Linked DNA regions of Ovis aries. The protein of the gene in region 6 interacts with the protein of the main gene of each other region in a pairwise test. Links are inferred from orthologs where the notes say so. Each region holds a gene or a part of one and is shown on either strand. Other genes may lie near its edges. The genes, in order: MTF1, AP2B1, ENTR1, KRT40, RUNDC3A, AP1M1 and ZBTB8A.

What was found.
Region 1: the proteins of AP1M1 (region 6) and MTF1 interact in binary tests that used the Homo sapiens proteins (3 or more experiments, as listed by UniProt). The two-hybrid records come from large-scale screens. The link is inferred for Ovis aries from reciprocal best matches to the Homo sapiens genes AP1M1 and MTF1.
Region 2: the proteins of AP1M1 (region 6) and AP2B1 interact in binary tests that used the Homo sapiens proteins (3 or more experiments, as listed by UniProt). The link is inferred for Ovis aries from reciprocal best matches to the Homo sapiens genes AP1M1 and AP2B1.
Region 3: the proteins of AP1M1 (region 6) and ENTR1 interact in binary tests that used the Homo sapiens proteins (3 or more experiments, as listed by UniProt). The two-hybrid records come from large-scale screens. The link is inferred for Ovis aries from reciprocal best matches to the Homo sapiens genes AP1M1 and ENTR1.
Region 4: the proteins of AP1M1 (region 6) and KRT40 interact in binary tests that used the Homo sapiens proteins (3 or more experiments, as listed by UniProt). The two-hybrid records come from large-scale screens. The link is inferred for Ovis aries from reciprocal best matches to the Homo sapiens genes AP1M1 and KRT40.
Region 5: the proteins of AP1M1 (region 6) and RUNDC3A interact in binary tests that used the Homo sapiens proteins (3 or more experiments, as listed by UniProt). The two-hybrid records come from large-scale screens. The link is inferred for Ovis aries from reciprocal best matches to the Homo sapiens genes AP1M1 and RUNDC3A.
Region 7: the proteins of AP1M1 (region 6) and ZBTB8A interact in binary tests that used the Homo sapiens proteins (3 or more experiments, as listed by UniProt). The two-hybrid records come from large-scale screens. The link is inferred for Ovis aries from reciprocal best matches to the Homo sapiens genes AP1M1 and ZBTB8A.

What each region holds. Positions count from the first base shown.
Region 1 is NC_056054.1:12,611,746-12,615,356, reverse strand, and holds part of MTF1 (metal regulatory transcription factor 1), read left to right. Parts: intron 1-299; coding exon 300-396; intron 397-1,122; coding exon 1,123-1,718; intron 1,719-3,611. UniProt on the Homo sapiens protein: Zinc-dependent transcriptional regulator of cellular adaption to conditions of exposure to heavy metals. Binds to metal responsive elements (MRE) in promoters and activates the transcription of metallothionein genes like metallothionein-2/MT2A.
Region 2 is NC_056064.1:14,480,621-14,484,985, reverse strand, and holds the start of AP2B1 (AP-2 complex subunit beta), read left to right. Parts: upstream 1-1,559; 5' UTR 1,560-1,799; exon of another isoform or gene 1,800-2,790; intron 2,791-4,365. UniProt on the Homo sapiens protein: Component of the adaptor protein complex 2 (AP-2). Adaptor protein complexes function in protein transport via transport vesicles in different membrane traffic pathways.
Region 3 is NC_056056.1:3,075,456-3,079,574, forward strand, and holds the start of ENTR1 (endosome-associated-trafficking regulator 1), read left to right. Parts: upstream 1-1,213; 5' UTR 1,214-1,368; coding exon 1,369-1,438; intron 1,439-1,541; coding exon 1,542-1,691; intron 1,692-2,376; coding exon 2,377-2,445; intron 2,446-3,153; coding exon 3,154-3,266; intron 3,267-3,487; coding exon 3,488-3,895; intron 3,896-4,119. Other genes in the region: PMPCA (mitochondrial-processing peptidase subunit alpha), read right to left, coding at 1,045-1,115. UniProt on the Homo sapiens protein: Endosome-associated protein that plays a role in membrane receptor sorting, cytokinesis and ciliogenesis. Involved in the endosome-to-plasma membrane trafficking and recycling of SNX27-retromer-dependent cargo proteins, such as GLUT1.
Region 4 is NC_056064.1:40,925,249-40,929,625, reverse strand, and holds the end of KRT40 (keratin, type I cytoskeletal 40), read left to right. Parts: coding exon 1-5; intron 6-806; coding exon 807-968; intron 969-1,047; coding exon 1,048-1,173; intron 1,174-2,600; coding exon 2,601-2,821; intron 2,822-3,635; coding exon 3,636-3,735; 3' UTR 3,736-3,827; downstream 3,828-4,377. UniProt on the Homo sapiens protein: May play a role in late hair differentiation.
Region 5 is NC_056064.1:43,852,747-43,856,871, forward strand, and holds the start of RUNDC3A (RUN domain-containing protein 3A), read left to right. Parts: upstream 1-1,296; 5' UTR 1,297-1,547; coding exon 1,548-1,654; intron 1,655-4,125. UniProt on the Homo sapiens protein: May act as an effector of RAP2A in neuronal cells.
Region 6 is NC_056058.1:6,573,170-6,576,209, reverse strand, and holds the end of AP1M1 (AP-1 complex subunit mu-1), read left to right. Parts: intron 1-526; coding exon 527-652; intron 653-1,379; coding exon 1,380-1,455; intron 1,456-1,625; coding exon 1,626-1,648; 3' UTR 1,649-2,461; downstream 2,462-3,040. UniProt on the Homo sapiens protein: Subunit of clathrin-associated adaptor protein complex 1 that plays a role in protein sorting in the trans-Golgi network (TGN) and endosomes.
Region 7 is NC_056055.1:235,067,148-235,071,367, reverse strand, and holds the start of ZBTB8A (zinc finger and BTB domain-containing protein 8A), read left to right. Parts: upstream 1-1,326; 5' UTR 1,327-1,473; intron 1,474-4,220. UniProt on the Homo sapiens protein: May be involved in transcriptional regulation.

The DNA.
Region 1 (3,611 bases), on a different chromosome or scaffold from region 6:
GCAGAAGCTATAGAGAGAATTCAAAAGTGAACCAGAGTGCCTCTTCCAGTACAGCTTTATTTGCAGAAACAGGCATTCAGCCAGCAAGTCAGTTTGCCAACTCCTGCTTTAGAGTGTTTGAAGACCCAGATCTTCAGTGTCTGAGGCTTAGGGGAATAAATGTCACCTTAGGAAAAGAAAAGTTAGAAACCAGAAGCATAGCCGAAGATCATTCTCATCCTGCTGCTCTGCGCCGTCTTGGGGTGCAGACCTGCTTTTGGATGGTGCGCCTCATGCGTTTGTCTCTGTCTCTGCCACAGGGCCAGAATCTCAGCACTCTCTCACCAGCAATCATTTTTGGACCAATGTTCCAGAAGTCAGATGATCCGGCAATTCAGGAAGATCCTCAACAGACAGGTTTGTTACACAGACTGTCTTCCTGCTCAGATCTCCGCACTGGGAAGGAGAATTCACACTTGCTGACACAGTAGATGTCAAGCACAGTGATATATTTCAGGTCCTTTGAATGAAGTGTACTTTCATTGAGGGATCAGAGAAGGATGGGCTTTTTAGCTCAATTCCATTTTTTTCTTTCCCCTGCTTCCCTCATCAAGGGTTTACTTGAGGATCTACTTTTCCTGGACCCTCAAATGAAGAGGGTCCCCTTTTCCAGAATCTTTCGTTGGCTTTCAAAAAGTGAGAGGAGTCGTGAGCACTTTCTTCTGATGTGACACCCCATTCATGAGTGGATAGAATCCACAAACCAAACTTTAGATATGTAGATCAAATTGTGTTTGAATGAAAATATGTCCCTGAAGCGTCACAGTAGTTAAAAAGTGTGTTCAGTGGTCATGTGCCCAGAAAAGAATGTCTAACCTCTTTTCCACAAAAGCCACGGGACACACATTTTTTATGGTTAGATCCATACTAGGTCTTCGAGTTTAGAAAGTGAGGTTGATGGTAAAGCCTGGTACTTTGACCAGAGGGGTCATTACGTGAAAAGCAGAGAGCCAGCCTGTCTGCAGTGAAGGAATCGTCTCTAACAGACTTCAGCTGTCTTTGGTGTAGCCCATAGAGACTGTTTTTGTGGCTTATATAAGGGTTGGAATGTGTATCTATATTTCTATTTCTTTTTCTTGCCAGCTGCCTTGATTGAAAGTTTTAATGGTGATGCGGAGTCAGTCAGTGATGTTCCGCCATCCACAAGACATTCAGCATCTTTATCTCTTCCACTTATACTGCAGCCTGGCATCTCCGAGCCACCCCAGCCTCTACTACCAGCCTCAGCACCATCTGCTCCTCTGCCTGCTCCCTCCCTAGGAACTGGTTCCCAGCAAGCTGCATTTGGCAACCCCCCTGCTCTCTTACAACCTCCAGAAGTGCCTGTTGCCCACAGCACGCAGTTTGCTGCTAATCATCAAGAGTTTCTTCCGCACCTCCAGGCACCGCAGCCCATCGTACCAGGACTCTCTGTTGTTGCTGGGGCCTTGGCGTCAGCAGCGGCAGTGGCATCCGCCATGGCAGCACCACCCCAAACACAAAGTACTACTGAGCCCCTGCCAGCCATGGTCCAGACTCTGCCCCTGGATGCCAACTCTGTCCTAACTAGTAATCCCACTCTAACCATCACCCCGACTCCCAGCGCAGCTATCCTGCAGCCCAGCCTAGTCATGGGGGAGCAGAACTTACAGTGGATACTAAATGGTACCACCAGCACACCGCAAACTCAAGAGCAAATTGTAAGTATGATGTGGAAAGGGGTCCAGTGGGTGAAGTGTATTTCTGTGGGTGACATGTTCAGAGGCCTTTACTTCAAAAAAGGAAAATGGCTGTTGTTTCTACCCCGAAACACATCACTCTACCAGTCATTTCCCCCATAATCAAGCAGTGTGAGTCCCGGAATGTTGCGGTCAATACCTATAATAGAGGGCCAGAGAAACAATTTTCAGATTTACCTAGGTATTTCAGCTGCGGTCTGATTCTGTCAATTCTGACAGGAGAGTCCGAGAACGTTCTCCAAGGCAGAGTCCATCCTGGGCTGAGGGACTGATGGGACCTCATCAGATGGAAACAGACCACAGTGGCCAAGTCAGAAGTAATCTGTGCTCCCAGAATCCATCATAGAGCCATTTTCTACCCAAGTGTATGGTCTCAGTGGCTAAGGAAATGACGTGGTTGTTCAACTGAGTATATTTTGAGAACCTGCTGTATACCAGATACCACACAGGATACTCTTGGAAATCTGGAAAAATGAAAAAAAAAAAAACATTTATTTTTGATAAAAACTTATATTCTAGTTAAAGAGGCTAAAATACCTAGAAGGAAGTTAATGCTACCAGTAGATAAAGTGTCAAATAATAAAAATAATGGTAATAAAAAATAACAATAGTTGTGACTTTTTGAGCCCTTCATGTACGTATGGGCTTCCTGTGCTGACTAAGCACTTATTAAAATTGAGGGTCTAACGTGCCAGTCATTACCTTAGGGACCTTATTTTTAGATTATATATATTTTTTAGTTTTTATCAAACAAATAGTAAGAACTTCCATACACTTCCTGCTCCCTGCCCACCCCCAGCCTAGTTTCCCTCATTATTAACAGCTTGTATCAATGTGATACATTTATTATAAGTGAATTAATATTGATAAATGATTATTAACATCTGTATATGTTTGTATCTCTAGATGTCACCCCCACCCCATGTTAAGTATTTTAATCACAGCAATCTTAGGAAGTAGATATGATTTTATCAATGGAGAGCTGAGACCCAGAGAAGTTAAGTGGTGACTAGTCCAAGGTCACACAGCTTATAAATGGCAAAGCCTAGGCAGACCAGTCCCAGAATCCATGCTGCTGATTGTGCTGCCAGATGAGGGGTTCAGAGACTAAAGGCTTATTGGGTGGCCATATGGGCCAGGTGAGCCTTCTTGAGGTGTGAGCAGGAATTAGGTGGAGGAAAGGCTGCACTGAGCAGGAGTAGGTCTGGTGGATGTATGATGCTGCCAAACAACCAGAAAGGCAGGTTGGAGCTAAATGGCAAGAGCACTCAAGTTCCATAAATGGGATGGGCGCCACCACCTCTGGAGGCACCCTAGTTCCAGTTTCAGATGGCCAGAGTCCCTGGAACAGCCTCTTCAGCATTGTGATCCAACCTGCCTCCAGGTGGTTCGGTTTTTTGGTTGTTACTATTGTTTTCATTATTTAAAATTATTTTCAGGGACTTCTCAGGCAGTCCAGTGGTGAAGGCTCCGCACTTTCACTGCAAAGGGCAATCCCTGGTTGGGGAACTAAGATCCCACATGCTACACAACATGGCCAAAAAAACACTTTTTTTCCCATTATTTTTACTGTTCTTAATATTTGCTGATGGCTGTATACAGAAAATGATCCTACTATCTCATTTATGATCTTTTTTTTTCTATTTTCTTCCAGTTTTATTGAGATATAATTGATAGATAGCAGAGTATAAGTTTGAGGCGTACAGCATAATAATTTGGCACACATTTAGTGAGCATCCATCATCACGTGATAGATAAAAACTTAAGGATACAGAAGAAAATGTGTGTGTGAGAGAACTTTGAGGATTCACGGCTTAAAGAGCTTTCATGTGTAACATACAGCAGTGTTAATCG
Region 2 (4,365 bases), on a different chromosome or scaffold from region 6:
CAGTTTGGTGGTGAAGTTTGGGTAATAGGTCAAGGCTAGAGATAGGCTTTTTAGGAGTCATATGAGTAGGAAAAATAGTTGAACCCATGGTATTGCTAAAGGGACAGTGTAAAGACAATGTATGAGTATAGAACATAAATCCTTGCTTCTCCCTCAGACACCATCTTGTATCTCTTTTCTTTTCAGTCATACTTTTTTTTATGGAGTTATCTGTTTTCATTCCTTTCCACCCATTTATCTTCCAACCTCTGCAGCGTGACTTATGCCTTCAATGTCTCTATGAATGGTCTTGGCAATGACATAAAGACCTTTGTGTTGCTAAATTCTTGGACACTTTTTGGCTCCTCCTTTTCTCTATAGCAACTGTTCTTCTTAACCACTCACTCATACATTTAGTCATTCAACAAATTTGGGGGAGGCGGGGGGTAGGCCTCAGAGATACAGTTTTGATATTCAGTTCTATACTTTCATAGAACTCTAAAAACATTCTAAATCATTATGACTGCCTTCTTTTCCTTCTACCTCTCTGACTGCTTCTCAGTCCCCTTTGCATTTTGGTTTCCCAGCTTCTGCCTTAGGCTCTTCACATTCTTCTTCTTTCTTGATTAAAGACTTTTTATTATTTTTACTTAGAGCAGTTTTATGTGGGAAGTTTTAGTTTTGAGGGGAAGATACAGAGATTTCTAGGTCTTGGTTTCTGAAAGGGACTTCTTTCGCGTAAGCAAACTCGTAGGTTTTCCTGGTGGCTCATTGGTAAAGAACTCGCCTGCCAATGCAATAGACACGGGTTCAGTCCATGGGTGGGGAAGATCCCTTGGAGAAGGAAATGACAAACCACCCCAGTATGCTTGCCTAGGAAGTCACATGGACAGAGGAGCCTGGTGGGCTACAGTCCATGAGGTCACAAGAGTCAGCTGTGACTTAACTAAAACAATTAACAAAGCATACCTATTACATGCTAGGCTTCTTACCAACCTAATCCGGTTTAAGCTTCATAAACTGGTAAGAGTTATTATCATCGTCTTTATTTCACAAGTAAGAAGACTGAAGTTGAAGAGACAAGTAACTTTCCTAGTCACATTCAGGGCAGGGATTCGGATTCAAATGGATTCACACATAGATTTGAGACCGTCTCAACCTTTTTTCCTTGCACCAGTCTCCTCCAGTTCCACTGCCCTTGTATAATCCTGGGCTGGATCACCACTGTCAGTGTATTTTAATTGCCCAAGGAATTAGCTGGGTTTTGTTGTTTTTTAAAGAAAGCAACAGGCATTTCACTGACTCTGTGTAAGTTTTTAGAGAGGTCTTGTGTGAGGAAACAAATCCAGAGAATGTCAGCTTGTTTACTAGATTCTTTCAGATGAATTTCCTCCGAAGCCTAGATCTCAGATCTCTACCACACCGCGCAAAATTTTTCCGTCTCCAAGGCGACAGAGAGTAGTCCCTCCTTTCTCGTTCTCTCGCGCGTCTGGATGACATCACACGGCGAGGCTCTCTGACGTAAGAGTTTCCTGTCCACCATCTTTGTACCGGGCAAAGTGGGTTTTGCGCAGTGGCTTAGACCTGGAGAAGGAGTCGTGACGTGCAGGAAACCATTACAACATCGCTCGGGCCGTGCTCTCTGGCCGCTGCTGCCACCCCCGCCCTTGCCTACGGTGAGTTGTAGGCGGCTACCTCTGGGGTGTGTCCCTTTTTGATGGGGATGGGGGATCCCCAGACTTGGTTGGAGACAGGCGGAGGAGAGGAAATCCGAGGACCGTGACCGTTGAAGATGGAGTGAGCCGTCGGGTGTGACCGTTGTGAGGAAGAGGGTTGGAGAAAAGGACTCCACCGCTGGGGCGGGGCGAGGGAATCCTCGGGGTGGGAATTGGGGGGTATTGGGGGAAAGATATGTTCGAAGTCGGGGGGTTAAGAGGGTCAGAGGCCAGGGGTGTGGCTGGCGGAGACCGGAGGCCAAGGAGAGAACCTTGCTTCTTCCCGGTTTGGCGTCGTTCTCTGAGAGGCTAGGTAGGACATGCTCAGCTCAGGAAAGGGAAAAGGGGTTCCCCAGAGCTTTGCTCCTAGATGGGTAAACCTCGCCGTCGCCCGTCATTTGAGGTTAAGAGACGCCTCTCTGCTTCGTAATGGAGGAACATAGCCGTAGAATTTTTACCACCTCGGGAAAGAAGAGGAATTCCTGACTCCGAAGATAGGGAAGAAAAACCCAGAGAATTGACCCGATATGAGAGAGGGGGAAGCTCTTGAGAGTAAATGTTAGCCCGGAGTTTTTTCTTCGGGGTCTTAGAAGGAACGGTCTGGTTTGAGAAAGGCTGTGGATTAGACAGAGGTAAAGAAACTGGAACTTCCTGTTAATTCCATTTTTTTTTTAATCCAAAGAGTTTATTCATGCTGTTAGTTTTTAACAGCACTCTTCTATTTGGGGGCAGACTCTTTTTTAAACTCCATTATGAAGCGGTGTGAATAAAATGTGGCTGCTTCATTAAACTTTTCACTTTTAAAGGTTTTAAAAATGCCAAAACACTGTTAACAATCCTTGTAGTTTAAAGAGAAAGTAAAAAAAAAAAACGCAGTAAGTTTAGAAAAGATAGAATGACCAAGAAAGTGGTCTCAGTGAGGAACAATTTAAATTATTAATCACCTTCCTGGTATACTTGTGTTGCTTAGCTTCAGGGTACACTTACAAAGTAATAATAGAAAGCAGCAGATGAAGGAGATGCAGCTGTGCAAGAAAACGTGTAACACTTTGCCAGTGGTGACTAAGCCTGGTGGGAACGTGAGAACTGTTTACAGGTATTTGACAGTTTAAACTCCCAAAGAAGCCGAAAGTAGAGGGTGTTCTGCAGATAGCTTCACTGAAAGCTGGATGGTAAAATTAGTATAAAGCTAACATTCTGTGAGGGCTTCCCTGGTGGCTCGCCTGCAGTAGGCGTGGGTTTGGTCCCTGGCTTGGGAAGATCCCCTGCAGAAGGCAATGGCAGGCCACCGCAGTGTCCCTTCCTGGGAAATCCTATGGACAGAGAAACCTAGCAGGCTTCAGTCCATGGAGCTGCAAAACAGTAGGATGTGACTTAACCACTAAACAACATTCTGTGACTTAAGAGACTCAAGAAAACCTGGTTCTTCCATCTTTTTTTTTCCTTCTTTAAACACACCTGTATTTTTAGTCAGTTCAGTTACTCAGTCGTGTCTGACTCTTTGCCACCCCATAGACCGCAGCACTCCAGGCCTCCCTGTCCATCACCAACTCCCGAAGTTTACTCAAACTCATGTCCGTTGAGTCAGTGATGCCATCCAGCTATCTCATCCTCTGTTGTCCCCTTCTCCTCCTGCCTTCAGTCTTTCCCAGCATCAGGGTCTTTTCCAGTGAGTCAGCTCTTTGCATCAGGTGGCCAAAGTATTGGAGTTTCAGCTTCACCATCAGTCCTTCTAGTGAATGTTCAGGACTAATCTCCTTTAGAATGGACTGGTTGGATCTCCTTGTAGTTCAAGCGACTCTCAAGAGTCTTCTCCAACACCACAATTCAAAAGCATCAATTCTTCGGTGCTCAGCTTTCTACCTGTGTTTTAAAATATTACATTTAAGGCACAGTTCTGAATCAAGCTGAACAAGTAACAAATTAGGAAGGACACATTTTCTTTTCTTCCTTCTCTCTCTCCAGGCGTTAAGTTTTCCAGAGTTTATTTCAATTAAGAATTGGATGTGAAACTTAAGACCTTTTTTCTTACTGTATGATATTAGCAGAGTACTTTGTAGTTAAATGGGAATGATAGGTATGTCTGTTGTAATGAGTTATCTGTTGTAATTTTGTATGCAATAAATGATACATGAAGATGTGTTATTGAAATGTGTAATTAGCACTTCTCATCCTTATGCTTGTAATGAAAGATTACTAAGATGACCTGTCCACTTTATAATTTGGTTTAATTCTGTTCACTTTTTCCCTACGGGCACCAGCTGTGTAAAATCCAACTTCACGTGAAGAGAGTGGATTTACTGGCCTCACCAACTCTAAATTAGCTGCTATTTCCCAGAGAGCCATTCGGAGTTAAGACCCCTATTAATTTTTTTCTGGCCTTATTCTCTTTAGGGGCACCAGAAGGAAGGAGGGATAGTTGAGAAGGGAAAACTGTCACAGCCTATATTTAGTAGAAACTAGGTTATGTTAAATCTAGATGTGTAATCCTGTACAGAGAGGCCTTTTCTGAAATGCAGTGACATCACACTCTGGGCTAGGAAAGTTAGAGAAATTGTGCATTTGACTCTGTCAGCCTCATTTATGTTTTAAAACGATGTCCTGAGGCCATACCTCAAGCCGGTAGAGCAGCCGATGGATGACTTGTCTAGTTTGACCTGGTAAAAAGGTA
Region 3 (4,119 bases), on a different chromosome or scaffold from region 6:
GTAGAGGATTTCTACACCGTCCTAGGGAGAGAGCAGAGGGGTGACCAAGAGCACCCCTGAGGGAACAAACTCTGGCTGAGCCGAGGCACTGGAGGCAAGCTGGTGCTGTGTCTATGAAACAGTAGTAACAGCCCCTTGGGGTGGGGGCTGTGCGGGTTAAGCCAATTTCTACTCACAGAGCACTTGACCAAGCTCTGCCCTTCAACAGCGCCCCTGGAGTCTAAATGGAAGCCACGCCTCTTTACCAGGTCCCAAAGGCTTTGTATGGTCTGACCCCTGACTCACTCTCCAAACTCATCTCCTAACCCGGGAGCCGCGCCACACCAGGTGCACCCCCCCTCAACAGGCTGGGCTCATCACTCCCACAGCTGGGCCTGCCTTCTTCGCCCGCACTGCTCACAGCGCTGGCCCTTCTCTCATTCCCCACCTCTCCTGGCTTAAACGTCACCTCCTTGGAGGCTGCTCTTCATTCTTCCTGAAGTTGTCTCCTGTTTCCTACCGCTGAACTTCGGCTTCAAAGCTGAAACTCTAGGTGCGCGATTGTCTGAACCCACCGCCTGGTTTCTGTCATCACAGCACCCGGCTCCCACGCAACTCCTGTACACAGCGGGAAGGCAAAACCCCACCTGTCGCCTAAACCAAGTGCCCGTGTGGGAAAGGCCCGAGGTCCAGAGGAAGTGCACAGCACCGCGGCCAAGGGCACGGCTCTGGCCACCACGGAACCCTGGCTCCGCGGGCTCGGCCTCACAAGGGGACACGCGGCCGGAAGGGGCCCGAGGCGGAGATGACACGTGACCTCGGACAAGCCCCCCGACCGCCCGGGAGAAGCGGGAGGGAGAGGAGAGACGGATGAAGCTCGGGGCCGGAGCCCGGGGCGCCAGACGAGGAAGCCCCCACGTCGCCTCGGGGACGGGGCCGGGGTCCCGCACCCCCAGCCCGCTGACCGGCCGCCGCGCCACGGCATGGGGAAGCCAGAGGCGGGGCGTCCAGAAGGGCTCGGGCTGCCCCGGCCCCCGGCCGGCCCCCGGCCCGCCCTCGGCTCACCTCGGCCGCGAGCGGCCCCACGAGCCCGCGCCCCGCAGCAGCCGCGTCGCCGCCAGCACCATGGCCGCCATCTTGTGGCACCGCCCACCGCTTCTGTCGTCACTTCTTGCTCCGCCCCCGGCGCCCCGCCCCCCCGGCGTCCGCTCGCGGCGCTCGGCCTCGCGCTTCCGGTGCGCGGAGCGGAAGCAGCGGCTGGAGGCTCGGAGCGGCGGCCGAGCGGCGGGCGACGGAGGCGGGCGACTCGGGCCGCGGCCGGGACGGAGCCGGGGCCATGGAGCCGCCGCTGCCGGGCTGAAGAGGGCCGGCGCCGCGCAGCCCGCGGCGATGGCGGGCTACGCGCGCCGCCCGGGCGTCACCCCGCTGTCCCGGGCCCGGAGCCTCGTCATTCCGGACGGTGAGCGGGCCGGGGGCGGGCGGGCGGCCGCGGCCCAGCGGCCGCGCTGAGGTCCAGGTGAGGCGGGCGCGCGGGTGAAGAGTCGCTCTTGTTGTTATTACAGCTCCCGCGTTCTATGAGCGCCGGTCTTGTCTCCCCCAGCTAGACTGTGAGCGCCCCCCGGCCAGGGACCTGGAGTCCCACTTCTTCGGCTTTCGGCCGACGTTTATGTGCTATATGCCTAGTCCGGTGCTAGCTTCCGTGGGAGACACAGGTGAGAGACGAGCTTCAGGGACCCCGCCCTCCCCGGGGCCGGCGCTGCTTGCGGTACCGCGCGGTAGCGCAGCTCACCCCCGGCCTCGCGATGACCACTAACCCCACCGGGTGCCGGGCGCTGGGAGTCCCGCCGCCTGGAGCTCACCACAGTCAGAGAGTGGAGAACCCCCCGCCCCCGCCCCCGCCAGACAGTTCCAGTAGACCGCAGTAAATGTTGGCTTAGAGGTAGGCCCAGGGTGAGCACAGAAAACCCTGTCTTTCTTCCTAAGCCTTCAGCAGATCAGGCTTAAACCATTCTCTGGTCCCCTGCAGCTGGGCGGAGGCCAGCTTTAGTTCCTCCTAATTCTCCCCAGGTGGCTAACACTGCCTGGCCTTCAGGGTATTCCGGGGCGTTTAGGTGGTTCTATAGGGGTCTGAGAGCCATTGACCACCCACAAGGGCGTTCAGGAGGCACCACAAGACGCCTGCCCTACTGGGCGTCAAACCCATCGGGAGGTTTTTCAGAATCACAGATGCCAAGGCCCATGGCAGCAGCCCATGTCCAGAGGCAGGAGCCCATGGGCGTGAGCTTTAAACGTCCTCCAGGCTGTGAGAGACCACTGCACTAGAGACCCCGTGTCAGAGAGAGCTGGGGTCACAGAGCACTCGTGTGGTCACAGTGGGGTGATGGTGTCTCTCTGCAGATTTTGGCTATGGAAAGGGGAAGTGTGCTAAGCAAGGTCCACCAGGAGCTCAGAACACACACTTTGGAGGTAGAGTAGTTCGGTAATCCTTTATTTTTCTCTCCACCCACGTCTCCACGTGCCAGGCGCGTGCCCAGGGGTGGGGCTGTAGATCTGACAGCGTATAACTAGTCTACCTGGAGCCCAGAAGAGCCAGTGGGAGTGGAGCCCCGCAGATCTGATCTTCCCTGGGGGGGGGGGGGGGGGGGCGGGAAGTTGGGAAGTCACGCCTGAGGGGTCTGAAGAGACGGGGGTGGAGCTGAAGTCACAGGAGCCAACTTCACACAGGACTAGCAACTGGGCTGGGCGTTGTCGGTGGGCTGAGAGGGCTGCGGGGTGGCTGCCTGGGTCCCCAAGGAGTCGGGGAGAGAAGGGAAGGCTGAGGTGAGGCGGGAAGAGGCTGGCGGCGGAGCAATGACTTGACGTCTGCCGGCCCCGCTGCAGGCTGCTCCTGGAGCCTCTGGCCGGGAGGGGACCCATGGGCGCCTTCGCACTCCCCAGGTGGAGCCCGATGGCAACAAGGTGCAGGGGGCGCGGGGCTGGAAGGAGGATCTTGGGCGCCCGAGTCAGTCCATCCTGTCAGGTAGCTAGTCGTCTCCCGGCATCACCGGGGTCTGGGGAAGGATGTGAGCATTCCCGATGTAGGTGGGGTCGCGTTCAGGCGAGAGCAGTGAATAGGAGCTCCCTCTGAGGGCCTTCCGGAGGCTTTTTGCCTGAGTGACACCTGGTATCTTTCAGATGATAAACTCGGAGACCTCGAAGCGGCAAATCCATTCTCCTTTAAAGAGTTCCTGAAGACCAAGAACCTGAGCCTGTCGAAGGAGGACGCCGACAGCAGGGTTTACTCGAAGGTAAACCCAAGGCCGTGTCTGCAGCGACCCTAGAAACCCTCCAGACATCTCTCCTGACGCGCATGGGATGAGGGGCGAAGCGAGCAGCTGGTTTGCCCCGCGGAGCCGCAGCGTGGGGTTCAAGGCCACCGGGCTCCTTGCTCTCTGTGCCAGCAGCAGACATCTGGGAGGGACGGCCTGCAGCGGCCCCAGTCTGAGCATTGCTTCCCCACCTTCTCTAGGAAGCCACGAGGCACTCGCTGGGACTCGACTGCACCTCCCCAGCTTCCCAGACTGTGGGCTATGGCCTGGAATATCAGCAGCCATTTTTCGAAGACCCGACGGGGGCTGGCGACCTCCTGGACGAGGAGGAAGACGAGGAGGACGGGTGGAACGGGGCCTACTTACCGTCCGCCGTGGAGCAGACGCACTCCTCCAGGGTGGCCGGCAGCACGTCGCCCTGCAGCACGTACGTCTCCTTTTTCTCCAACCCGTCGGAGCTGGTGGGGCCCGAGTCTCTGCCCCCATGGACACTGAGCGACTCCGACTCTCGCATCTCCCCGACGGGGAGCCCCAGCGCTGACTTCACAGCCCACGGAGAGAGTCTGGGGGACAGGCACCTTCGGACGCTGCAGATAAGTTACGAAGCAGTAAGTGAGGGGGGGGTTGCGTCGGCACCCCACCCTGGTCACTGCTCGTGCCTGAGCAACATTCTTGGAGGATGCCGGAGCCCCCAGCGTCCTCCATGGCCTGGGGTTTGGGCTCCAAGGACGAAAGTCTGTGCTGCTGCGGCTGCGGCAGCGTCCCCGTGCTGACCATGTAGGCGCCTGGAAAGTCCCAAGGAGGAGCAGCAGAGGACTGCCGGGGGGCCAGC
Region 4 (4,377 bases), on a different chromosome or scaffold from region 6:
AAGAGGTAAGGAAAATGGCAAAATCACTGAAGGACCCTCAAAGTGACAAAGTTAAGCTGGGAGAGCTCATGTTGAGTATATTCATAGAACTTGAGTAGATGTTGACTGATGTGGAAAAAACTCACTCTAGGCACTGTTACTATTCAGCCTGATCATTCTGGTGTATCTCTGAATGTAAACGTGAAATGACCACTGGCCAGTGCCGAATGGAGGAACTTCGCCTGCCTTTATTTTGGGGGGAGAACGTAGCTCCACAAATAGCTTTCCTGGGTGTTTTATGCCACTTTTATCTCTAACTCATAAAGTATGAAAATCAAGCTGATAATTGCAGAGTGCGAAGGTCATTTCATAAAGGAGAAAAGATTCATGCAATATTTAGACTAATTTTTTTAATATTCTGCATTTATAAACTTTTGAAATCGTCAATTGTGAATTATATAATTATCCTACATTTATGAAGCTGAAAACTGAAAAGCTGAATGGTGTTACAGAGTATATCTTCCCTTTGAACATTTGTTTATGATAATAGTAACTAACATTGAGACCTTATGGTGCACTTAGGACTTAAGTGTTTTCTATGAATATGAACTCTCATATATCTCACAATAACTCTCTTGTAAGGGTAAAATCATACCTATTTCACAGATGAAAAAATTGAGTGATGAAAAGAGACTCAAGCTAGGCAATCTGAATCTAAATCTCACACTTCTACTCACTACTGCAAAAACCAGAAATGGGGTGCTGTTGGTATATCGAATTGAATTTTTTCCCCACAAGTCACATTCTTTACTCCATTTCCAACTCAGGAGGTCAACGTGCTTCGTGGACAGCTGGGCGACCGGCTCAGTGTGGAGCTAAACACTGCCCCCACCACGGATCTTAACAGAGTCTTGGATGAGATGCGTTGTCAGTATGAAACTGTGCTCGCCAACAACCGCAGAGACGTGGAAGAATGGTTCGCTGTTCAGGTTGGCACTTGGAGCAATAAAATGACAGGCATCCAGACTTCTGCCTAATTTGCATATTCTAATCATGCCTGTATTTCAGACAGAGGAACTGAATCAGCAGCAGCTATCCAGTGCAGAGCAGCTGCAGGGCTGCCAGACGGAGATCTTGGAACTGAAGCGCACAGCCAACGCTCTGGAAATTGAGCTTCAAGCACAGCAGAGCCTGGTATGTAAGGGCAAGACCACTCCGTTTTGTCACTGAAGAATCATGCTTAAGATACTTACTATCCCCTATTCTGTAACCCAAAGGACAAACCCACAGTTTATGCAGCAGAAGGTCTGAATTTCCTTCCCTTTTTCAAGGATGCTGTTTACCCAGCTAGAAGCGGAAGTGATAGGTCGACAATTTGTAATGTACCACTAGGATGTCCTGACCTTCCTTTCTGGGCTTGGGCATGATCCTGCAGCATCCTCCAGAGACAAAGAGAGGGAACAGAAAGAGCAGAACGAGATAGGAACTTACAAACCAAAGGCTCTCCTTTGAAGAGATGTCTGTTTAGGTCCTCTGCCCATTTTTTGAATGGGTTGTTCTTTTTTAAAAAAATTTGAGCCACATAAGTTGCTTGCAAATTTTGGAGATGTTGGTTTCATGGTTCATGAATGTTTTCTCCCACTAACTCTTTTGTGGTTTGGGCCAATTTTCCAAGCTCACCATCACATTTAAAATGAAGATGCTCAGACTTTACATTCTATAACTATCTTAAACTTTCCCAGGATGCACACCTCAGCTGGACCCTTCCCTGTACCATGCTTCACCCAAGCAGCAAAAATACCATGTATTCAAGATTACACTAAGCATCTCCATTGCTGTGTGAGCCACATTAGGTCCTATAGAGAATGTCTAAATGAATAAGAGCTGAGCATTCATCTTGTGAGAGGCACAACGCTAATTTAATTCTCACACTAACCTTATAGGGTAAATCCCTCCGCTGACCCCATTATACAGATGAGGAAAGCTGAGGCTCAGATTAAGTAACAGGGGTTCACACAAGTTTTAAGAGGCAAAAGTGGAAGCTGAATCCAAGTGGTTCGATCTCAGAGCCTCTTCTCTTAACCACACTAGGAGCCAGGAGCCCATTACAACATTTTCTCTCAAATGCTTTTGATCTTCACTAGGCTACACTAGTAGGTTATAGGTCGCAGAGGCCATAGTGGTAATGATAACTCTTACTACCTTTAAAATTTTCCAGGCACTGTTTTAGACACTTTATGTATATTTACTCATTTAACCCTCCAACCATCCTATGAGGTTGGTACTTTGCACTCTTCATTTTTTATACAGTAAAACTGAGTTCAGACTGATGGCTCTAGCAGGTGTTAATCTTCGATCTTAACAGGACTTTTGACACCGTGGTGTTTCCAGGGTGGTAAAATAGTAGGAGATTTGGGGCTTTTAAAATGTATTTATACTAAATAAATAATGCCCAAACTGGAAAAAGCAACAACAACAACAACTGAGGCTCAGAGAAGCTAAGTAATTTTCCAAAGTCACATAGCTGGAAAGATAAGAGTAGAGCAGGGTTGGAAAACAGGCAATCTGGCCCCAGAGACTGTCCTACAACCACCTTCTTTACACGCTCTTTCCTTCTGCAGACAGAATCTCTGGAATGCACCGTGGCGGAGACTGAGGCCCAGTACAGCTCGGAGCTGGCCCAGATACAGTGTCTGATCGATAATGTGGAGAACCAGCTGGCTGAGATCCGCTGCGACCTGGAGCGGCAGAACCAGGAGTATCAGGTGCTGCTGGACACCAAGGCCCGGCTGGAGTGTGAGATCAACACGTACCGGGGGCTGCTGGACAGCGAGGACAGCAGGCAAGTTCCACACAATCCCTCTTAAAATCCCCCAGAGTCACACAGAGGCTCTTGAAGGACCATCCTGTTTCCCAAAGATCTGGCCATATTCAAACCTCCTTAAAGGAGTTAAAGGATATTCTTAAAGAGTGATGAAAAGCAGCAAGGCTAGTCACATGTCAATTGAAATGTTCAAAATGTTCTAAATTTCCAAGGCAGAAAAAATATAATATGTAACATTTCAAGCTGGGAGTTTCCCTTTGCTCCTGACTTCAGGAAACTCTGAAGAAATATTCCAGGGTACTGAATGATTTAACTACTAGACAAATGGCAAAATATGCATAACTTTTGGCTAATGGGACCTAAACAGGCATTGGAAAAAGCCGTTAAGAGAGTAAATCCTAAGAGTTCTCGTCACAAGGAAAAAATATTTTTCCTTTTCTTTTACTTTGTATCTGTATGAGCTGATGGATGCTCAATAAATTTATTGTGGTAATCATTTCATGATGTATATAAATCAAATCATGCTGTACACCTTAAATTTAGACAGTGCTGTATGTCAAGTATATCTCAATAAAACTGAAAGAAGAAAAAAAGGAAAGTCAGTAACACACATAAGATGGCATTTGCCAACTAAAGAAAATACATAAAGGTTTATCCAACTGTCTCTGCTATAGTGAACATGAAGTGGCAATTCTTTCATTCAAATGTTATTCTGAAAATAGAGTTCTTCAAAATATAATTTGAAGGGCAAATTTTGGCATGATTTTTTTCTGAGTTGACATTTTATCCAGCTTCTCCATGTTGAGATTAGTTAAAAATGGATTTTTCACAGGCTTCCCTGTAACCCATGTTCTGCAACAAGCACGTCAAACAACACTTGTGAGCCATGCTCGGCGTACATAATTTGCACAGTTGAAAACAGCTGTCCCTGAAGGTTAAACACCCAACACAGCAGATGGAGGAAGGGAAGCCAGCAGAATCCTTGAGAGGAGACGGTGCTTCGATCAGGGACATCCAAACTTGAAATTCAAGTTAAGAACGCTTTTGTATTCTAAAATTGTCCTCTAAGCATGCATGAAGGATCTCTGTTTTGTCATTTCCTCTCTTGCTTGCTTATTTGTGATATTCTAGGAGTCTGTAAAGCTTTCTTGCTGCTCTCCAATAAAATGTTTTCATTCCTTTAGAATGGTAAATACAGACTTGTAGCTCATTACTGTTAATATAATAAACATTTGATGCCAAGATAATTGTCTAAAACAATGCCAGTAGTTTGATTTTGCCTAAACCCAGAAGGAAAATATTTTTTAACTCCTTGAATACAAATAGATTAGCTAATTCATGTAAAATGTCATATATCATGGAAGATAGGTGTGTATATATCATTCTGAGAAGAAACACTTGAGGATATTAATTATAAAAGTACTAGATTCCCTTTTTTTTCAATTTGGCACAGGAAAGGGAAAAATCACTCATAATTCCATACCCCAAATATCCATTGTTGGTATTTGGGGAACTTCCAGTTTTCTTTCTTATAATGGTAGTAATCATAGTTTCGTATGCATTTAGTTTTAACC
Region 5 (4,125 bases), on a different chromosome or scaffold from region 6:
AATTGAGGTTGAGGTTGAGTGAGCAGGAGATCTGTGCTGGAGTCAGGACCTTCTCCCCAGTCCCCAGGAAGTCAGACCAAGATTGGGAATTTCTACAGGTCTTTCATCTCTCCCTCCTCTGTTTGTGCTAATGGAGGGTCCCTGCCTGCTGGTCATTTTCAGATGTGAGTGCCCATCTGGAGCAATGTGGAGACACTGACCAGCCACTATCGAGCAGCGTCAACCCAGAGAGTGGGCAGAGTTGGACAATGGACATTTCTGAGGCCAGATGGAGAAACTGGGTGAAGCTCTTGTGATCAACACAGAAAGCCTTTCTGCGGGAGCTGGGGATTTCAGTGGTTGAAAGAGAACAGGCTAAATAGAGGAACAGAGAGATGGAGCATGTGGGAGCAGTGATGTGAGAGAGCAACGGGTAGTATGGAAGCCAGACTGTCCCTCTGTTTCCCCCACCTTCCCTAAAGGATGCAACCACCTAAAAGACGCAACCAGCACTGTCAATCAACTATACTTCAATTTAAAAAAATAAACACGGAAAATGGATGCAACCAGCTTTTCTGGCCTTGAAGAGAGGGTTGGTGGCACCCTGCAGCAATTCTAGCAACCAAGGGGTTAATCCTCAAACCAGCTGCCTCTGGGGTGGTGTGAGGAGGTAGGACTCAGAAGCAGTTACTTGGCACCACTATGGGCATCAGCTCTACTGCTGGGAACCTCCACGGAGCCCAGGCCCTTAGCTGCCAGTCTACTCTCCACTCTTTGTCCCGACGGGTTCCAGGCTCAGGGCTTCTACGGCTCCTTCTGAATTCCCATCCCCCACCCTACAGCGGTGGACTCCGCCGGCTGGCGCAGACGAACCAAGCCCGGGGGCAGACAGATACGCAGTTTCCGACTGCTCCTTGGTCTCCAGGGTCTCTGGACGCAGACCTGGCCTGGCCTCACTGGGAATGCCATAGACAACGGGTGGGCGGAGGGGGCCGGGATAAAGGTGAGGAGAAATGAGAAGACATCTGAGATAGACACCACTGATCAGAGGTCAGAAACAAGGGAGTAGAGGAGTCGGGACGCAGAGACGCGAGACGTGGGGTCCTGGGCTCTGAGCCTGGGGGTGGAGGGCAAGCCAGAAGCCCCCTTTCTTCCTTCCAATCGCTGCCTCTCCCTGGGACCCTCTCGGCGCTCCTTGAGGCCCCTGTCCCTTCCCCTCCCCCTCCAAATCCTGCACCCTCTGCGGATTGGTCCCCGGCCTGCCAGGGGGCGGGGCTCGAGGGCTTTGACGTCACCGGCCGAGGGGGGCGGGCAGCTAGGGGAGGGGGTGACGGGCCCCGGCTCAGCACCTCGGAGAGTTCCCTCCCCGGCCTTGTTTTGCTTCGGAATCGCCGCCGGGGGAGAGAGCCAGGGGGCCGGGCAACACGCGCAGCGGCTGGAGGATGGCCGTGGAGGGGTCGATGTGCCCCGGCGGGCAGAGGGCCCAGCGGTGATCCGGCGGTGGGGGGGCCGGGGCGCCGGGCAGGGTGAGGGGCAGCTGGCGGCGGCAGCAGTGGCCACACATCTGGATGGAAGCGAGCTTTGTCCAGACCACCATGGCTCTGGGGTTGTCCTCCAAGAAAGCGTCTTCCCGCAATGTGGCCGTGGAGCGCAGGAACCTCATCACCGTGTGCAGGTGGGCACCGCCGGCGGGCGGGGGTGGGGTGGTCAAGGAGAGGCGACGGGGCCGGCTGGATGCGAGGATGCACAGCAGACGCGAAGAAAAGGGAGGCAGCACAGGGTTAAGAGGAGCCCGCGTCCGCTATCCTCAGACCCAGGCTTGGAGAGGGTCTAGAGGTTTGGTCCCTACCCTTCTAGGCCAGACCAGGCCAGGCCTGTGCCCAGCCTGGGGCCTGGAGGGTGAGGGGTGTTTAATTGGCACTGCAGCTTCCTGTGAGAACCAGGAAGTGACATTGTCTGTGAGGGGGAGGGGTGGGGAGGGCTGGCTCCCTTGCTGGGGGCGGGAGCTGGGTGGGCAGAGAAGAACTGATGGGAGAGGGGAATGAACGCCCTCCAAGCATGTCCTCACTCCCACCCCTGCCAACCTGGCCTCTCTGGGGTAGGGCTTTTCTGGGAGATTTCCCAATTCTCAAATCCTGGAGCAGGGGTGGTGCCCTCCTCCATCTCTAGGCAGTTAGTTGCAGCCCATGGCAGGGTCAACCGGGCATGTAGGTGAAGTCCTGGAATCCATCCAGTGAAGGCACAGCACTGCTCCTGTGGTGGGAAGGAGTGAGGGTCTGACCGCAGGAGCTGTGTTCTCCCGGGTCCAAGGGGAGGAGATTGGGAGGGCCGAGCCCTTGGTTCCCAAGGGTGGGGTTGTCGCAGTGTTGGGAAGACTTGCCCGCTTTCTTGGGGCCCAGAAAGTGAACCTACCCACTCCCCAGCCCTGCAGTGGCTCACTCTCCCCTCCCTGAAGCCAGGAATGACCAGTCCTCAGCCCCTACCTGTACTCATCTCTACCCCTTGGAGCCCCCTGCCAGCTGCCTTCTCCACCTGCAGTCTCCCCTCTGCCCCACGCCACCTCTGAGGGCTCAGCTGTCTTCCCTTGCCAGACCCACCTGCCTGCATACCAGCCGTGGTCCTGCTCCTTCCCCCAGGGATCAGTGCCCACCTGATGCCCTGGGTCTGTCTCCTACAACTCTTCCAGGTTCCTGGGTGCACACTCAGCTCTACTACGTCTGTCTCATACCATTATATCCCCAGTGCCTAGCATGGTGCTGTGCACACATGACCTCTGTAAAAATGCCCGGAACGTTAGAGAAGGAATGAGTGCGGCAGTGGCCCAGCCCAAATGCAGGCCTCTGCCTCCATGCTCACCTCCCAGGCCCTGCCAGTGTGGTGTAAAACACAGACAGTCCTAGGTTCAGGCTTTTCTTCAGTTATTAGCTGTACCACTTTGCGGAAGTCTCCTAACCACTCTGAGCCTTGGGTGTCTCACCATCTCCATCGTAGGTATAACAGCCACACCAAGGAATGGTAATGACATGATGCATGTTGGAGCCTAGTCCTGCACCTGGCACATGAAAACAGCCCGTCCCTATGCCATCCTTCCTGTCCCTCTCATCTCTCTTGACCTCCTAGGTTCTTCTGCCTTCTCTTGCCTGCCAGGACAGCTGGGACTGTTGAAAGTGTAGGGAAGGGACAAACGCCTCTGGGCCTCAGCTGCAGAAGCAGACGTTCTGGGGGACTGGAAGTGGGGTTAGAGCTGGAATGTGAGGGATAGAGTTGGCGGGGAAGGGGTGATTGCGAGCATGACAGAGGCTCAGAAATCCCTCTGGTCCCTGCCGCCTCATCACAGTCACGTGGTTTGCCTCCAGCTCTGGGAACAGTTCCCTTTAGCAGGCCAAGGGCTCCCCTGGGCCCTGGTTGCCCTGTCTCCATGGTAACCTGCAGCAGCCACTGCACCTCTGAGCAGGGAACACACCATGGGGCTCCCGGGGGCGATGACCAGCACCACAGCACCCCTGAGGACAGATGGCAGATGGCTGCCATGCTGAAACCAGCCACAGGCCCCCACTGAGGTCTGACCCAAATGACCAGAAGACATCACAGGAGCAGGGCTGTATAATAAAGTCCAGATAATGTCCTAAACACAGACTCCTTCTGGTCATGCCATTAATGGCCCAGTTCCTTACCACCCCTGCCCCATGGCTTGCTCACTCACCTTCTCCCAGACTTTTCCCGGAATTTGAACCAAAATTTGATGAGACAAGTACTATTGTTCTTGTTTACACCTGGGGAATATGGGCCTTGGAGAGATTAAGTGACTTGTCCAAGGCCACAAAGGTACCACCAGGACACAGGATTTGAGTCCATCCAGGCTGCCTCCCTTGGTACAACCCCAGCAACTGACCTGACTCTTATCTCAGGCCAGACCAACTCAAAGGAAGGGACTGAGGTCTGTGGGGTTAGTTGTGCCATTGGCCTAGAGCCTTGGCGGCCAGTGTTCGAGGGCTAGAGCACAGAGCGGAGGACAGAGTGTGGAGGAGGCAGGGGCTGCTTGGGGCCTCACTGATCCTGACATCCACCAGGAGGCCCCAGAAAGAGCAAGGGCATTGGGATCAGACATACCTGTTGACGCCTCACAAGCTGTGTGACTTTGAACAA
Region 6 (3,040 bases):
GGGATCGAACCAGCATCTCCTGCATTGGCAGGTGGATTCTTTACCACTGCACCAGCAGGGCAGCCATTCCTTCCCCCGCTACAAGTCCCAGCTCTGGAGTCCGCTTCCAGGGCCAGAGCCTTTCCCTTCCAGGGGGAGACCTAGGGCCAGCTCGTCAGTCCCAGGCAGCCCTGTCGCCCCGTGCCAGCGCTCGCTCTTCCTCTCCCTCCTTCCTCCCCAAGGCCTAGTGTTCTTCTTTTCCTCGACGCAACTAGGCTTCTGTGCCTGGGAACTTGTAGCAGTTTCTCTTCATCCTCAGAATTAGAGGATGAATTTTCCCTAGCGGGGCTGGTGTGGGCAGCCCAGGAGGCTTAGAGGATAAGGTAAGTGTGAGTGTGTTGCAGGAGCCGAGGCCCAGGGTGGCCACAGACCGTGCAGGAAGGGACTCGTTGGCCAGGCCCTCAGCCTGGCATTCTCCAGGGGCAGCTGTTGGATGGACCTGCCAGGGCCTCCGCCTGACCATCTCCTCTGTGGTCTGCTCCCGCAGGGCGGCAAGGAGTACCTGATGCGGGCCCACTTTGGCCTGCCCAGCGTGGAGGCAGAGGACAAGGAGGGCAAGCCCCCGATCAGCGTCAAGTTCGAGATCCCCTACTTCACTACCTCTGGCATCCAGGCACGTGCAACCAGGGCAGCCGGGGCCCCGGGGCAGACATGGACAGGCCCAGCGGGGCCTCTCAGGGGCCAGGCACCAGTCCAGGCTCAGAGGGTTGAAGGTGACAGACACGAGTGCAGCCAGTTAGCGAAGGGTGCTAGCTGACTCGTCCCAGCACTCCAAGCTGCTCCCCAGCCCTGCCCATCTCCGTGGGCGCCCTGCCCATCTCCGTGGCCGCCCTGCCCGTCTCCGTGGCCGCCCTGCCCGTCTCCGTGGGCGCCCTGCCCGTCTCCGTGGGCGCCCTGCCCGTCTCCGTGGGCGCCCTGCCCGTCTCCGTGGGCAGCCTGGCCCTGATGGAAAGAGGCCTGCAGTGGTCTGCTCACACCTGACCTGTGCTCCAGGCTCAGAGATGCATTCAGCCCCCAAAACTAATGTCCACACACTTGCCGCTGTGGGGTCCATTTTCCTGGCACCTCCACGGAAGCCCTGTATGGGGCAGAAAACCCTGGGATTGACCCCTTCTCTAGGAATCTGCTAGAGGGTCGTGCCTGCGAGTGCACATCTGGCTCTTGCCGCACCTTCTAGAAGCATCTCCACCCTCCCCCGGCCTGAGTGTGAAATAGACTAATGTGCTTCGCCCTCTCCCTCGCCCTCTTGGTCTCAGCCCAGCCCCAGGAGGAGTGGCTGGGTGGGCAGCCAGGAGTGGGGCCGCGTGTGCATGCTTAGGGCCCTGATGCCTGTGCCGCAGGTGCGTTACCTGAAGATCATCGAGAAGAGTGGCTACCAGGCCTTACCGTGGGTTCGCTACATCACTCAGAACGGAGGTGCGTGCGACCCGCCCTAGGGGCAGGGGGGGATTGCTGAAAAGGCCCCTGGTGGGCGTGCCTCTGTCCCCAGGGTGGTGCTCAGGGAGCAACCTCAGGGTCAGGGCAGGTGGGGCGGCCCCTCCTCCAGGGTCAGAGCAGACAATGGACGCCCCCCTCCCTCTTTGTAGATTACCAGCTCCGGACCCAGTGAGCAGCCGTGGTGGCCCACCCTCCCAGCCCGGAGGCTCCCGGTGGAAGCGCCTGCCCAGCCTGCTGGAGGGAGGGGCTCCCCTGGACCCTGGCGCCCCTCCAGGCTCCACCCAGGAGCCCCTCCTCCCAGGTGCACCTGCTCTGCCGCCGCCACTCTCACCTCCCAAGTCCCCTTTTCCCAGAAGAGGCTCATCTTCAAGAGGTCTTGTCTCTCAGTCCCTGAGTCAGTTTAGGGAGAAGGAAAGGCATCTTTCCCTCCAGAGGTCAAATACAGCCTTCTGTGCTGTTCCGCTCCCGGTCACAGAAAGAGTGGGAAGCACCGCCCGGGCCGCGCTCTGGCCAGGCTGGCAGGGCTGCCCTCGTGCTGCCACTCTGTTGGATGCCGTGGGTTTATCGAGCATTCCTAGATTTTGTCTCCGGCCGTCGCTGTGTATGTGATCCTCGCTGTCTGTGCCTCCCTCCCCCGTCCTGAAGCTCTCAGGCAGCACTTAGCGAGGACAGGCTTCCCCTTCCTCGCCCTCCTCCCCAGTGAGGCTGACACCGGTTTGCCCTCTCAGCACCTGGCGTTTCGACTAGAGGCTCCTGGTCTGGAGCTTTGAATAGAGACGCCTTCTCAGGGCCAGCCCGTGCCACATGATGCTGTCACTCAGCCACATCAGTGTTTGTCCCGCCAGGGGAAGAGGGGTCCAGCGCGGGCCCCCAGCCTCAGAGGGTGGGGGTCCCAGGCCATCCCCATCTGTGCTTGGACACCGCCGCCCCCAACCCTGTCCATGTTTGTGCCATGAGTACATTAAACTCCATCGGTTAAACATGCCTTCCGTCTGGTACAGCGTTGTGCTGACTCCTGGGTGCCCAGGAGAGGGGTAGGCGCACACCAACCTGAGTGGGGCACCAGTCCCTGGGGCCCCTATGTCCCCTGGGGAAGACGGGACCAGGCAATGAGCAAGCAGAGCCATTGCCCAGGGGCCTCCCAGAGGGGCTGCAGAGGGGAGGGCTCACGGGCAAACGTTTCCGTCCCGTCTGAGATGACCGTCACAGCCCTCGGCCCTCGGGCCACCAGCAGCCTGCTCCCCTCCGCAGCCCAGTGGGCTTCCTCAAGAGTGTGGTCCTGCTGCCAGCAGCATCAGTGTCCCCCCGCACGTGCAGGCTCACAGGCGCCCTCCTTTACCCGCCGTGGCAGTCTCTGGAGGTGGGGCCAGGAGACCGGCTAACAGGCTCTGCATGTGATTCATACGTGCCCTGGAGTCTGAGGACCGCGGCCTGGCGCCCCCTCCACAGGGGGGTCTCGGCAGGGCCGTGGGCAGAAGGCAGCTTGTCTGCCCACTGCAGTCACAGGCCTGCCCCCTGCTGCCTGCAGGGGCTGTGTCTCCCTTTCCCTCTCCCGTATCACCCA
Region 7 (4,220 bases), on a different chromosome or scaffold from region 6:
CAATTAAAGCTAAAAAAAAAAAAAAAAAACACCAAAATCTTTTCTATAACAATGCCCAGGTCTATCTAGGAGAATTATCAATGGGGATGCTAGTAAAATAGTCTGAGTACATTCAACATTCCTGATACCTAATGGTTTTCAAACACATTTTTAATGATCTGTGCAGAATGATGTGAGGAAATGGAACTAAATAGCAAAATAACTGGAGAGTAATATAGAAGTGATATTAAGAGATAGTTGTGTTTTGTATCCTATGAACTGTAGCCTGCCAAGATCCCCTGTCCATGAGATTGCCTAGGCAAGAATACTGGAGTGGGTTGTCATTTCCTTCTCCAGGGGATCTTCCCCACCTAGGGATCAAAACTGCATCCCCTGCATTGTAGGAACATTCTTTACCACTGTGCTCCTAAGGAAGCCCTTCTAGTAGAGAATATGGTCCTCAAAGCACATAATTAATTATGATGAAACCAAAGTAACAAACTTTGTCCAGTATAACTGAATATGACATGAGAGAAGTCCATCAAAGACTAAATATTTTGAAATTTTGAGTCTTGTTTGTTTTACTATATCACAGAACTTTTCAGTACTTTACTCCAACATAAGGAACTAGAAAACTAATTTATAAAATTGTTTCTATAGTAACAATGAAAATTCAGTGATTATAAAGATTTTAGCAAATACATAATCTGACGTCTGAACTCTGAATATTAGGGACATAAATATGTCAGAAGAAAGACTTGATCTACAATGAATTTTTGTATTTGAAAACACAAAATCTGCTATTCTTACTAGTTTTTTATTTTCTTTGAACTTAACCAAGAATTATTTTCTCTTATCTCAGCTTCTTGAGTTAGCCTCTTCAAAGAAAATGCAATGCTTGTGACCTGTAGAGGTTTAGAAAAGGTATCCCCGACTAAAATGAGTGCCTCAATAAAAGGAAAAATTCTGTACAGATCTCTTCCATTTGACGCTGCTAAACTTAAGTACAATAATGTCACATGTACTTATACAGTAATTGTGGGCACGCCTAAGTCCCTCCCTCTTTCCTAAACCAAATTCCCCAGATCCTAGAAATCCAGCCCTTCTGCCCTCCGGAGGCGCCTTTCCCAACGTAAAGTACAATTTAAAATTTAAGCTCCTGACTAAATAATGATTCCGTAGCCAACTGCTCGGGGATCTGGGCACCCCAGCGCCTCTGGAGCGTGCAGCGGGGTGTAGGGAAGGGCAGGGGGAGTGGGCGAAGCTGCTGGTTGGTGCCTGAAATCTGTGCGTTGCCCCTTTAATTGTGTCCCCAGCCCTCGGGCGTTTCTGTCCAACGCCCACGTCAGCAAATACCTTTTGTTTCTCTCACGTTGGGGCTACTTGTTTTGGGGCGCAAAGGAACGGCTTCGAAAGGGGGAATTTCCCCCGCCGAGAACCGGGAATCTTCCCCCCAGCCCGCGCGCGCGACCCGCCGTTGCGCCGCGGCCCGCGGTAAGTGGCTGCGCGCCGCGCGGGCGGAGGGCGGGCGGGGCGTCGGGGCAGCCTCGCACGGGCCCGCAAGCCTCGCTGCGGGCGGAGGCGCGGGCGAAGGCGCCGCGGGCTTTGCTCCCCGGGCGGTGGCGGCGGGATACGGCCCGGGCGCTGCGCCCCCAGACGTCCCCGGGCTGGGAGAGCGGCGGGAGGCGCAGAGGCGAGCGGGCGCCATTTGCAGCCCCGGGCGCAGCGGCGGTGGCGCGCCGGTCTGAGGGGCTGGAGACGGTCACAAAGGAGGCGCGGCCGGGCGGCCGGCGCCGAGAACCTGGCCTCGCTGCGGTGGCCGGCGAGGAGAGGCGGGCGGCGGCGGCGGGGCGCACCGGTTCCCGGACTGCGCGGCCGCCGCGCCCGCCCTGCCGCCCGGCCCTGTCCGCCTGCGCGCCCGGGAGGGGCTGCGGGACAATGGCCGCGCCGTCGCCGCCCGCGCCCGCCCGACCGCCCCCGCCGAGCGCCGCGCCCGCCTGGCCGCCCGGCCCGGCCCGGCCGTGGCGCGGGGAAAGGCGGGAAGGCGCGCGGAGCCTCCTGGCGGCGGTGGCGGGAAGGCGGCGCGGGGCCGGTGCCGGGCGTGTCTGGAGCCGTCGGGCGCCGCAGACTCCCGGAGGGTCGGCGGCCGGCGGGGCTCGGGCTGCGCGGCCAGTGATGGGTGGCCCGCCGGATGGGGCGGCCGAGGTCTGGGGCTTGTCACTTGCGGCCAGGAGTCCGAGTTTCTCCGTACATCTTCCATCCTTTGGTTTTATATCGTGACGCGACAGATCCGGGCTTAGAACCCAAGCAGACTTACTATACCTAACTAATATTGTGCTGTAATTACTGTTTTATGACGGACTCACACATACGCACCTTCTGCCCATGTAGACGGCATCTTTTGTAAGTTAATAGCGGTTTGGCACCTTCGCCTTCAAATGCGCTTATTTATTATTGATTGTGCCAGTAGCCAGGTTCTGTATCTTTCAAAGGCGGTTCCCCCCCGCCCCCGGCTTTCGTTTTTCTTTTAAAATTGAAATATAGTAGACATATAACCTTATGTTAGGCTTAGTACAAAATGCGTTTGCAAGCGGTAGATTCTCACCTATTGGGCTTTTAAACTACGCACATCAGTATTACTTCTGTTCTTAATAAGCCTCTATATTTGAAGAACTTTAGTAAATGGAGTGCTTTCGCCTATATGAATTATTTCACTTATTTTCGCATAAAACAACCATCTAGTCAGGCCGGTGGTTTTTCCACTTTCTAGGTGAGGAAACGCATTAAGCATTTAAACGTTAAGCCAGGAGGTGAACAGTGGCAGGCTTCCAGCGCCCTTGCCTCCTGTTCTTGCTCTTCATTTCCTCCTAAAGTCACCTCCATATTCTTTAAGTAAGCAAGTCATATCATTCCCATGCTCTAAAGCCCTTAACCGATCTTATCAGAAACAAGTCTAAAATCCTCAGCAGAATAAACCTTAGGCTCAAAACTTCCTCTCTAATCTTCCCCGAGTCTCAGATAAGGCTTGAATTTGTGGGACCCCTGGAGCAAGAGCCCTTCACTGAAGGGCTGTCAGGCAGAGTATAACCAGGAATCAGATACCTTTATTCCTGGTAGTGCCCCTGGCCACACAAATGGTAAATGGGAAGTGAGAATCTAACCTGCCACCCCCGGCCAAATGGGCATGTTTGGGTTAGGCTGTGAAATATTAGACCGGGGCATCCTGAGTACCTTGGCTTCTTTCAAGTCCTGAATTCCCCATGAAAGAGAGCAGCCTGCCAGAACTTATCTTGTGGCCTTGAAATCACCAGCTCTGCTGTTGATGATGATTTGAGCCCCCAAACTTTGTAAGATAGGGTAATACTTGATTCATCCTGTATCATTTAAATCTTATTTTCTAGATAAAATGGAATTTATGTCTAATAGGCTTAACCTTTTCAGTGACCTATCTGTTTATAATAAAGAATTTGGTGCGAGTGTTTTGATCCCCTTGAGGAAAGTTCCTGTCACTTTTTTGCTTAGAGTTGGTCAGTGGCTCCTCATCTTCAGTGGGTCCCCGTCTTACTCAGACCAAAAGCCCAAGGCCCTAAAGAGTCTACCAAGTCCACAGGAACTGGTCCCACGATGTCCTGTGAATGTCGCTCAGTTGTGTCCGACTCTTTGCAACCCCATGGACTATACAGTCCTTGAAATTTTCCAGGCCAGAATACTGGAGTGGGTAGCCTTTCCCTTCTCCAGGGGATCTTCCCAACCCAGGGACTGAACGCAGGTCTCCCGCATTACAGGGAGATTCTGTACCAGCTGAGCCACAAGGTGAGCCCCGGGATGTCCTACTGCCCCACAATCTATTGTTCCTTTCTGACTCCGTCTTTCCTTACTCTCCCCAGCCCTCCATTTTCTACATTTCTTTTAGCTCCCCGACTCGGGATCCAACCCATACCCCTTACATTGGGAGCACTGAGTCTTAACCACAGGAGTGCCCGGGAAGTCCTCCCCAGCTCTTGATGTTTCTCCAACCTCCTTGCCTGCTTCTCTTCAGAGCCTTTGCGTTTGTTGTTCCATCTGCCTGGAACACCCTTCCTCCAGATATCTGAATAACTCTCTTACCATCTTTGGACTTTACTTTAAATGCCATCGTCTCACTGACTTTCCTCAACTATGGTTTTTATTTTTTTAACATTTTTATATGTAATTCTGATTCCAATTGTTTAATTCTAATTTACAGGGTTAATAGATATGTA